3 linked regions of the Callithrix jacchus genome follow. The protein of the gene in region 1 interacts with the protein of each later gene in a pairwise test. Links are inferred from orthologs where the notes say so. Each region holds a gene or a part of one and is shown in the gene's direction. Other genes may lie near its edges.

Region 1 (3,649 bases):
AACCTCCTTTAATGCTTGGATTTGTGTTTTTGCAGGTATGGGCGGAGCTGCCATTGCCCCACCCACTTCTCTGGTAGAGAAAGACAAAGAGTGTAAGTAGATCTGTTTCTTCCTCTTTTATTCTGATACAGATCTTTAAGCAAATCATGTGGAATCTCAGCTTGGGCCCCCAGGTTTGCTGAGTGTAGACGGAAATGGCCTGCCTGCTGCCTGCCTGCCTGCCTGCCTGCCTACCTACCTACCTACCTACCTACCTACCTACCTACCTACCTGAGTGCACATGGATCTCAGAATGCAGTGCCCTCCTGCAGAGACCTTTTTATGCCAGGCTCTGGATAAAAAGAGTGGGATCCATGTCTTTTTTATGCAATTCACTTTGTTTTCATTAACATTTCTTATTTGTTGTTAGATTCATTTGGAGTTAAAACAGTGTAGATCATTTACAGTTTTTGAACTCAGGGGTTTACAGGCTGTTATATTCATGGCCCTCCACAAGGTGGCAGTGCCTTCCTTGATTAGATTTTTTTTCTTCCCTTAGCTTCCCTTTCAGTGCAGGTCGGTGTCCCTGTCATTGCATTGCCAAAACACCCTCATCCACTGTTCCTTCTTGCAGTGATCTGCTCTAAAATTCTGAGGTTGGAATTGGACTTCTGAATATCATCTAGGTCATTTTCCCATTCTCTGGATTGGACCATACCTAAACTATCCCAAGCAGATACTCTGATTTATAGTACTTTCTAAAACTTGTTGCATTATTTCTCTTTTAAAGAAGATGCTTTCTAAAATATTATGAAATATCTGTTATGTGAACACAACCGACAAACAATAAACCCCAATTGAAAGCAGTCTCTGGGAGTGGGGCCCAGGCATCTGGATGGTCTTAAAGCTTCTTGCTGACTTTCATGTAACTAGAGTTGATGCCACCACTGGCCGCTAACCTCAGAGACCTTTGTGGGCCATGAGGCTGATGGTATAGTGAGGTTAGGGTCTAGACAGGTGCACAAGGTGCTGCGGGAGTCAAAAGATGGCCAGATTGTATCTCCGTGGGCCATTCAGAAGCTCTTGCCACAAGAATATTCATTCAAGATTTTAAAGGGTAAATAACATTTCAATAAGATATAAAAAGGGTGCTTTTGCTATTTCTATCTCCTATTTGAGGAGATAGAAATAGCAAAAGCAAAGTTAGAATCAGGAAAGTAGTGTTCTCCCTCTTCTTTAAAAAAAAAAAAAAGTCACGTAAAGGCTGTAAAGTTGATTTGTTGTTTTTCTCCTTGTGGTAAACCAGAAAAATAGGTTGAATTTTTTCAAGATAAGTAATTGATAGAAGTGAGATTTCAAAGTGTTTTCTATGGTATTTTGGTGAGCCTACTTTTGCTCCAATAGTACCCCGAGATTTTCCTTATGAAGAGGACTCAAGACCTCGATCACAGTCTTCCAAAGCTGCCATTCCTCCCCCTATGTATGAAGAACAAGACAGACCGAGATCTCCAACTGGGCCTAGCAACTCCTTCCTCGCTAACATGGGGTAACGATTTAATGTTCTAATCTAAGAACTTGAGAAACAGTGCGAAGCGTTGCCAGCTCTTTCAGTAGATGCAACTTGTTTGAAACTAAGGACATTCAGGCTGTGGGAGACTCTTGGTGTGTGGGGTCACACAGTGCCTGCCTCAGTCACATGGAGCGTGTTCCAGTGTAATGATGGGGCTTGTTCACAACAACAAGCCTTCGAGTAGAAGGTTTGATTCATTTTGATTTTGATGATCATCTCTAGACAGACACAGAACCTGATAACTGTTTACATTTGCCTTCATAACATTTGCAAATAAATTAGCTTATATGAATCAGCTGACGTAGTGTCTCCAAAAGGGTTGGTGATACCTTTTTTCCTGATAAAGTGGGCCATCTGCTTTAAGGTCACGGTTCTAAACCTTGGATCTAAAAAACTCAGGTTCATTCTAACTACAAGTAGACGTTTGTTTGCCCCCATATAAAAGTTTACTGTAAGATTGATGTTCAGGTGAGGCTTGTGGATTTTTTTTTTTAAAACCGTTCTGGGCTTGGCAAACATTTTGGTTAAGAGGATGTTCTGTGCTGTTGACTTTGATCCTGTGAAGCAGCTGTTCTGTGAAGCGGCATCACACGAAGGCTTTGTTCTATGCTGTGTTGTGTCTGCCAGATGCTGCCTGTAGCAGAAATGTAGCCGGTGAGACAGCTGAATGTAGTTTAAACTCACTAGTCTCTTTTCAAGTGCTCAGTGACCACATCCAAGTGGTGACCATGTTGGATGGTGCAGACATAGTACATGGCCATGGCCGCAGGAAGGTTTGTGTGCTGGAGGGTTGGACAGACACAAAGCTGGTTTTGATTTTGGTTTTGTTTTTCCTGTTTATGATAAAAATTGACTTTTTGCTGAATTTGCTTTTAACCAGGAACACATCTTTAACTTGTGTTTAGGAAAGATGCAAGGTGGTACCATTCAGGAGTTTTTGGTCTTTTTAGCCCTAGAATAGCTTGTTCAAATGAAAATTTTAAGGGAATTAAATACAAGAAGTAATGTAGGTGCAGTTCCAGTTGAAGCGGGTTTTGTGGCTTAAGCCCTAAGCAGCAGTGGTCATGAGGTTGGGGTGCCCTTCAGACCCATGACCACCTCACAGTGCAGTGTGAGAGCCATCTGGTTGTTAGAGAAAGCAGTGACCTGAGAATTGTGGAGTCTAATTTCAGCTCTTCTGCTAACAGCTGTACAGATAATTTTTTTTTTATTATTTGAGATGGAGTCTTGTTCTGTCACCCCTGAGTGCAGTGGTGCGATCTTGGCTCACTGCAGCCTCTGCCTCCGGGGTTCAAGCAATTCTTCAGCCTCAGCCTGCCAAGTAGCTGGGATTACAGGTGCATGCCATCATGCCTGGTTAATTTTTACATTTTTAGTAGAGCTGAGGTTTCACCGTGTTGGTCAGGCTGGTCATGAACTTCTCACCTCAGGTGATCTACCTGCCTAGGCTTCTCAAAATGCTGGGATTATAAGCGTGAGCCATTGTGCCTGGCCTGTACAAATAATTTCGAAGTGTGGCATCTTGCTTTACTTGTAGTCCACCCCTTAAGCTAGTCAGCTAATCTTAGCCTCCGTTTCTTTATTTCTCATTTGTTAAATAGGTGATCTCTAAGGGTTTTTTCATTTGTATAGTCTGTCATTAGAAAGTCTCCTGTGCTATTCAGGAAAATTGAATTGTGTTCATTATATGAAACTTCATACTTATTTTTTGATGGCCACTTTTTAATAAACTGTGGTCATAAACTATGTGGCAGTACAGATCTGGAGCACACAAAAGATCTTGTGTTTCCTAGTGGGGCACTGAGTAGACTCCACCAGAGAAACTGGCATTTCTCCTTCAAGATAACAGGATATTCTGGATTTTAGTCATAGCTTTTTCTATTTCTTTTGTGCTGCACATCCCCACAGCTTCCGTCTAATAGCCCACTCCTAGATAATGCGTGACTTTGTGGAAGCCCCTGTGGAGTATGCAGTGTCTCCAGAAGGAGGTTGTTGTTAGGTAAAAATGCAACCTATCTCCAGTTGACAATGTCAAGGCTAAGAGTCCTTTCCCTCCTCCTGCCAGGGGCACAGTGGCGCACAAGATCATGCAGAAGTATG
Region 2 (3,649 bases), on another chromosome or scaffold:
CAAGAGTCCATCTCAAAGAAAATAAGAGGCTAGGCACAGTGGTTCATGTTTGTAATCCCAGCACTTCGGGAGGCCCAGGCGGACAGATCACAAAGTTGAGAGTTTGAGACCAGCCTATCCAACATAGTGAAACCCTGTTTCTACTAAAAATACAAAAAAATTAGTCAGGTGTGGCATGAGTCTGCAGTCCCAGTTACTCGGGAGGCTGAGGTGGGAGAATCACTTGAACCTAGGAGGCAGAGGTTGCAGTGAGCCAAGACTGCGCTATTCCACTCCAGCCTATGTAACAGAGTAAGACTCCGTCTCAAAAAACAGAACCAAATTTTTGTTTCTGGTTTTTGTTTTTGTTTTTTTTTCGAGATGGAGTCTTACTCTGTTGCCCAGGCTGGAGTGCAACGGCGCGATATCCACTTACTGCAACCTCTGCTTCCCTGGATCAAGCATTCTGCCTCAGCCTCCTGAGTAGCTGGTATTATAGGTACAAGCCACCATGCCTAGCTAACTTTTTTGTATTTTCAGTAGAGATGGGGTTTTACCATGTTGGTCAGGCTGGATCCTGACCTTGTGATCTGCCCACCTTGGCTTCCCAAAGTGCTGGGATTACAGGCATGAGCCACTGTGCCCAGCCCGTATTTTCTTATTAGACCCCAGCATGTCTGTAATCCCAGCTATACAGGAGGCTTGAGGCAGGAGAATGGCTAGAACTCGGGAGGTGGAGGTTGCAGTGAGCTGAGATCACGCCACTGCATTCCAGCCTGAATGCAACAGAGCAACTCTGTCTCAAAAAAAAAAAAAAAAAAAAAGTTTTTATATTTCCTTTTTAGACCCCAGTTAATTATTGTGCTTTCTGTGGTGGATATATGTCAATGTGATTGTAATGTGATGCTGGATAATTCTGCATTTAGTTTTGCATATTGTGGCCTCCTCAAAAGCCTTGCATATGCCAGTGTTTTCTCACATTGTGCAGGGCCGTTGTGTGGGATCTCTTTCTTTCCTTGGGTGCTGGACTTTCAGTGATGGCTGGTTCACTCACTGATGAATCTTGTTGCTTACAGGTCCAGGTGCAGGTACAGCAGTCTCCGCAACAGGTCTCGGCTCAGCAGCTTTCCCCACAACTCACCGTTCACCAGCCTGCTGAGCAACCCATCCAGGTCCAGGTGCAGATCCAAGGCCAGGCACCACAGTCAGCAGCCCCCTCCATTCAGACCCCGTCTCTGCAGAGTCCCAGTCCCTCGCAGCTGCAAGCAGCTCAGATCCAGGTGCAGCACGTGCAAGCGGCCCAGCAGATCCAGGCTGCAGAAATCCCGGAGGAGCACATCCCACATCAGCAAATCCAGGCTCAGCTGGTGGCTGGCCAGTCTCTTGCTGGTGGTCAGCAGATCCAAATCCAGACCGTGGGTGCCCTTTCCCCACCACCATCCCAGCAGGGCTCACCCCGGGAAGGGGAGCGGCGGGTTGGCACAGCCAGTGTCCTCCAGCCAGTGAAGAAGCGCAAAGTGGACATGCCCATCACTGTGTCCTACGCCATCTCAGGGCAGCCGGTGGCCACCGTGCTGGCCATTCCACAGGGCCAGCAGCAGAGTTATGTGTCTTTGAGGCCAGACTTGCTGACAGTAGACAGTGCCCACCTGTACAGTGCCACTGGGACCATTACTAGCCCTACAGGAGAAACCTGGACCATCCCTGTTTATTCTGCCCAGCCCCGGGGGGACCCTCAGCAGCAGAGCATTACCCACATTGCCATTCCCCAGGAAGCCTACAACGCAGTTCATGTCAGTGGCTCACCCACGGCCCTGGCAGCTGTAAAGCTGGAGGATGACAAGGAGAAGATGGTGGGCACCACATCTGTAGTAAAAAACTCCCATGAAGAGGTAGTGCAGACCCTTGCAAACTCTCTCTTTCCAGCACAGTTCATGAATGGCAACATCCACATTCCAGTGGCTGTGCAGGCTGTGGCAGGCACGTACCAGAATACGGCTCAAACTGTCCATATATGGGACCCCCAACAGCAGCCGCAGCAGCAAACTCCCCAGGAACAGACGCCACCACCACAGCAACAGCAGCAGCAGCTCCAAGTTACTTGTTCAGTAAGTGAAGACTTACCAGGAGGACAGGCAGTCTGTTCCCTCAGGGCCCAGTGCAGCACAGAGCTTGCCTGGTAACCTCTGGCTTCTTTACTGCTATTAGTTTTACAGTGATACAGTATTTAATATTTGGGAGAAGAGGGCGAGAAACAGCAGGCTATACAACAGGAAAAAGGTTTATCCTGGTACCTAGAGGTAAATGAGATGGCCAGGAATTGCTTTGGAGTTTTGGAGAGGTTTTGGGTTTAGGTATTATGGACACTTCTTTGTAATTTTTTCTCAGGAAGAGTAAAGTTACAGGTATAGATGAATGGGACACCCAAAGTGTGTCCCAGGAGCTGCTTCCTTGTATCATAAGTAAATGGTTCTAGCAAAACACTTGTAGTTTATCAATAGATTACAAACTCATCATTGGAGAAGCTGTGAGATTGTTCTGTTTTTCATCTTTGGGCACACAGTGTGGGTGAATTAGAAAATCTGAAATACCTCTTAATGAGCCTGTTAAAAGTGATCACTGTTGGGAATCTTGAATATGCCACCTATGTGGTAGGACCTCCCAAGAGTGTTACTGTGTTACTTGAAAACAGGCCAGGCCCAGTGGCCACACATGTAATCCTAGCACTTTGGGAGGCTGAGGCGGGCAAATCACCTGAGGTCAGGAGTTTGAGACCATCTTGGTCAACATGGTCAAACCCCGTCTCTTCTAAAAATATAAAAATTAGCCAGGTGTGGTGGTGCATGCCTGTAATCCCAGCTACTCGGGAGGCTGAAGCAGGAGAATTGCTTGAACCCAGGAGGCGGGAGATTGTGATGAGCCAAGGTTGAGGTGAGCCAAGATCACACCACTGCACTCTAACCTGGGGCAACAGAGCAAGATTCTGTCTCAAAACAAACAAAACCTATTAGTGCTGGGTTCTGTGACAGTTGCCTATAATCCCAGCAGTTTGGGAGGCTAAGGTGGGAGGATTCCTTTAGCCCAAGAGTTTGAGATCAGCCTGGGCAATATAGGGAGACCCTATCTGCAAAAAATTAAAAAATATACTCGAGTGTGGTGGCATACACCTGTGGTCCCAGCTTAGATGGGAGGATTGAGCCTGGGAGGTTGAGGCTGCTATGATCATGCAACTGCATTTCAGCCTGGAGGAAAGAGTGAGACCTTGTCTAACAAAAAACAATTGGTGGAATATCTGGTCCCATTAGAGTGGGATATAGGGCCTCTGGTCTTATGGGACTGATGAAGGTGGTGTGCCTCAGTGGGCAAAGGCTCCTGGGAATGCATGTGTGGGAGCTGGCACAAACAAGTTAGATAAGGGACTACACTTAGAAACACGGGCTCTAAGTGATTAAGCAAAGGTTGACCAGGTGTTTTCATAGAGGCAACATTTTATTATCCTAAGTGATATTAAGGACCTGCTAAATATGTAGCTGTTGGGCCTAGAAATAGAACAAGACAAGAGTTTTTGCTTCATACAGCTAAGAGTTGTGAAAGTCAGACTTGATTTCTATTCCTTTAAATTATTTATAAGGCAGAATATTTATGACATACAAAGACAAACTGGGAATTT
Region 3 (3,649 bases), on another chromosome or scaffold:
GGTGGGTGCCTGTAGTCCCAGCTACTTGGGAGGCCGAGGCAGGAGAATCGCTTGAACCCTGGGGGTGGAGGTTGCAGTGAAAGTCCATCTAAAAAAAAAAAAAAGTTTATAGTTTGCAAAAGAGTAAGGATCCTCAGTGGCCACCAGTAGATAAGGACTTCCGCCTCAGCAAGGGCACCTGTTTTGATCCAAAGTCAACTTATATTTAATTTTGGCCATTACTTGTCTTTTACATCTATAATACAGTACAGCAACGGGATTAAATGAATCGGACTAGTTAGGAAGCGTGCTTTTCCCAGATTGCTGTAGGTGTTAGCACGTTTGCAAACAGGGATCAAACGCCTGGGTAGGAAAGAAGCTGTTGCCCTAATGGCACAAGTACTTCATGTGGTGGCTTTCGCTTGGTTTATTGTCATGAGTGAGAAAAGTAGTGATGGTAATAAAATGTATGAAGATGCTAGATTGAGATGATATTGGGCAGGCATGGTGGCTCACGCCTGTAATGCCAACACACTTTGGGAGGCTGAGGCGGGTAGACCACCTGAGGTCAGGAGTTTGACCAGCCTGCCCAACCAAAATTGTGGTGCAGCCCTGCCTATACCAAAAATACCAAAATTAGCCGGCCGTGGTGACGTATGTGTGTAATCTCAGCTACTTGGGTGGATCTCTTGAATCTGGGAGGCAGCAGTTGCACTGAGATTGAACCCCTGGACTCCAGGCTGGGTGACAGAGTGAGACTCTGTTTCAAAAAAAAAAAAAAAATTGGTAGTGATAGGAAAAGTTAGATGTAATTGAACACTGGATTTGCTCAGTAAACTTTAGCTTTTTATTAAAAATAATAAAAAGAAGGTGAATTTCTGGTTGAAGTGGAAAAGGCCTGTGATCTCCATTTTCCCTGTGCTTAGTGCTGACTCAGAGACCCTGAGTGGGACCCTGAGTGGGACCCAGGACTGCATGGAGCACAGCTGGGAAACAGCTGGGCGAGTCTAGGCCTCCTGAGTCTCACAGGGGAGCAGGGGGAGAAGGAGTCAGCAAGTCACAGGGCTCAACCCCGGCCAGCCCAGGGTATAACCCTGGGTCTTCCAGGTCATGGGGTGTGAGTCCTACCTAATACCTCTTATCCTCCTAGGTGTGGACGTGGAGGCAGCCAAGCGTGCAGAAGAGGAGTTGCTGCTTCATGACACAAGGTGCTGGCTGAATGGGGGCGCCATGCCAGAGGCCCGGCACCCCCGCACAGGCGCCTCTGCCCTGCACGTGGCCGCTGCCAAGGGCTACATTGAGGTGATGAGGTAAGTTGGGCCTGTCTGTTCCATCCTGCTGTCTTATACCTTCCTGTGGATCTTGTCCCTTTCTTTTTCAATGTATGTACCTAAGGCTATGTATTTCCCTCTAAGTACAGCCTTAGCTGTACCCACAAGTTTTGATGTGGCAATCTTTTTTATTGTCATTCACTGTAAAATATTTCCCAATTTGTAATCTTTTCTTATTTATTTATTTTGAGACGAGGTCTTGGTATGTTGCCCAGGCTGGAGTGCAGTGGTGCAGTTGTGGCTCACTGCAGCCTCCAACTCCCCAGGCTCAGGTGATCTTCCTACCTCAGCCTCCTGAATAGTGGGGGCTACAGGCACACACAAACATGCCCCATTAATTTTTGTAGAGATAGGGTTTTGACATGTTGCCTAGGCTTGTCTAGAACACCTGGGCTGAAGTGATTCACCTACTCCCAAAGTGCTGGGACTGCAGGTGTGAGCCACTGTGCTCGGCATAATTTCCAAATATATAGGACTTCCTTAGTCACCGTTGTGTTACTGTTTTTCTGGCTTAATTACACCATGGTCAGAGAATGGCTTCTATATGATTCTACCTTTTGAAATTTGTTTTATCTTATGCCCCAGTATATGCAATTTGGAAAAGAATGGTGTCATCAAGTACAGTGTTCTCTGTAGGTTATTACATCAACCTTATAATCACGCTGTTTTATCTGTAGTGATATTTTAAATTCTTGCTGTGATTATGGACTTTGCGTGTTTCTTCTTGTAGTTCTGTCAGTTACACTTTGTATATGTATTATTTGGTGCATATATAGTTATTTGTGTTTATTTATTTTTGAGGTGGAGTCTCGCTCTCTGTCACCTAGGTTGGAGTGCAGTGGTGTGATCATAGCTTAATGCAACTTTTGCCCCTTGAGTTCGAGCGATTCTCCTGCCTCAGCCTCCCCAATAGCTGAGACTATGAGAGTACGCCACCAGCCCGGCTAACTTTTCTATTTTTAGTAGAGTCGTGGTTTCTCCACGTTGGCCGGGTTGGTCTTGAACTCCTGACCTCAGGTGATCCACCAGCCTCCGCCTCCCAAAGTGCTGGGACTACAGGCGTGAGCCACTGCGCCCATCCAAGCAGCATACACAGTTTAAATTTTCTTCCATACTCTCTGTGTCAGCCTCACCTCAGTCTCGGGTCTTACTTGCTCCTATTTGGCTGCCTTCCCCTTTCCGTTAAAGTTGTTGGTTCCAGTTCTCATGCTCAGGTTCCTCATTCTTTTATCAGTTCCCTCCTCTCTCTCTCTCTCTCTCTCTTTTTTTTTGAGATGGAGTTTTTGCTGTTGTTACCCAGGCTGGAGTGCAATGGCGTGATCTCAGCTCACCGCAACCACCGCCTCCTGGGTTCAAGCAATTCTGCCTCAGCCTCCGGAGTAGCTGGGATTACAGGCACGCGCCACCGTGCCCAGCTAATTTTTTGTATTTTTAGTAGAGACAGGGTTTCACCATGTTGACCAGGATGGTCTCGATCTCTTGACCTTGTGATACACCTGCCTCGGCTTCCCAAAGTGCTGGGATTACAGGTGTGAGCCACCGCGCCCGGCCTCCCTCCTCTCTCTTTTGTGATCTTACACTTCAGCATAAAAATGAAGTTAACATGAATTCCTCCCCTCTCTGCTCACCTCTGCATTGACAGTTTTTCATCTGGTTGTCTCAGTGAGGTACTTCAGATGCCTGTAACAGCTCCAGGCCGTCCCTTCTGCTTAACACCTGCTGCTGAGGTAGAGTGCCTGGGCCTCTGTGTCTGGCCTGAGTCCCAGCTCTGTTGCTCAGAGGCTGTGTCGGTGCTGTGTCCCTCCCTGAGATGATCCTTACCACAAAAGGACTGGAAATGCTACGTGGTTGGGCCCAGTGACGTGCCCAGGCCTGGAGGCTATGCCCTTTTCCTCCCATGGCTTCCACCCCTCAGTCCTGGGGGGCTGCTTCATCTCCTGCTATTGCACCTGCATCCCAGCCAGCAGGAAGAGGGAGGGCAAAGGGAGCAAACACCCATCGTTCTAAGAGAGCAGTCCTCAAGTGGCACTGCACCACTAACGTCATCACCCTATGTGCCAGATCCTAGTCACGTGACCTCTCCCGGCTGCAAGGGACAGTAGGAGATTGGCCTTCAGCTGGGCGGCCTGTGTCTGGCCGGGGGTGACTGTGTCCAGCTGGTGGCCTGGGTGGGTAGCACTGAAGTACTTTGGACTTAGAAGTATTTGCTGACTGTAATTTCATTACTGCTCCCTTGTAAGGGTGCATGTTTACACTCAGCTCTATTGACTACATTTATTAATTTTTGTTTTTGAGATGGAATTTTGCTGTGTCGCCCAGGCTGGAGTTCAGTGGCATAA

Evidence for each region.
Region 2: the proteins of RBM17 (region 1) and QRICH1 interact in binary tests that used the Homo sapiens proteins (3 or more experiments, as listed by UniProt). The two-hybrid records come from large-scale screens. The link is inferred for Callithrix jacchus from reciprocal best matches to the Homo sapiens genes RBM17 and QRICH1.
Region 3: the proteins of RBM17 (region 1) and PPP1R12C interact in binary tests that used the Homo sapiens proteins (3 or more experiments, as listed by UniProt). The two-hybrid records come from large-scale screens. The link is inferred for Callithrix jacchus from reciprocal best matches to the Homo sapiens genes RBM17 and PPP1R12C.

The regions. Positions count from the first base shown.
Region 1 is NC_133508.1:7,684,900-7,688,548, reverse strand, and holds part of RBM17 (splicing factor 45), read left to right. Parts: intron 1-35; coding exon 36-92; intron 93-1,383; coding exon 1,384-1,525; intron 1,526-3,614; coding exon 3,615-3,649. UniProt on the Homo sapiens protein: Splice factor that binds to the single-stranded 3'AG at the exon/intron border and promotes its utilization in the second catalytic step. Involved in the regulation of alternative splicing and the utilization of cryptic splice sites.
Region 2 is NC_133516.1:31,687,089-31,690,737, reverse strand, and holds part of QRICH1 (transcriptional regulator QRICH1), read left to right. Parts: intron 1-1,055; coding exon 1,056-2,087; intron 2,088-3,649. UniProt on the Homo sapiens protein: Transcriptional regulator that acts as a mediator of the integrated stress response (ISR) through transcriptional control of protein homeostasis under conditions of ER stress.
Region 3 is NC_133523.1:47,965,797-47,969,445, reverse strand, and holds part of PPP1R12C (protein phosphatase 1 regulatory subunit 12C), read left to right. Parts: intron 1-1,129; coding exon 1,130-1,289; intron 1,290-2,952; coding exon of another isoform or gene 2,953-3,037; intron 3,038-3,649. UniProt on the Homo sapiens protein: Regulates myosin phosphatase activity.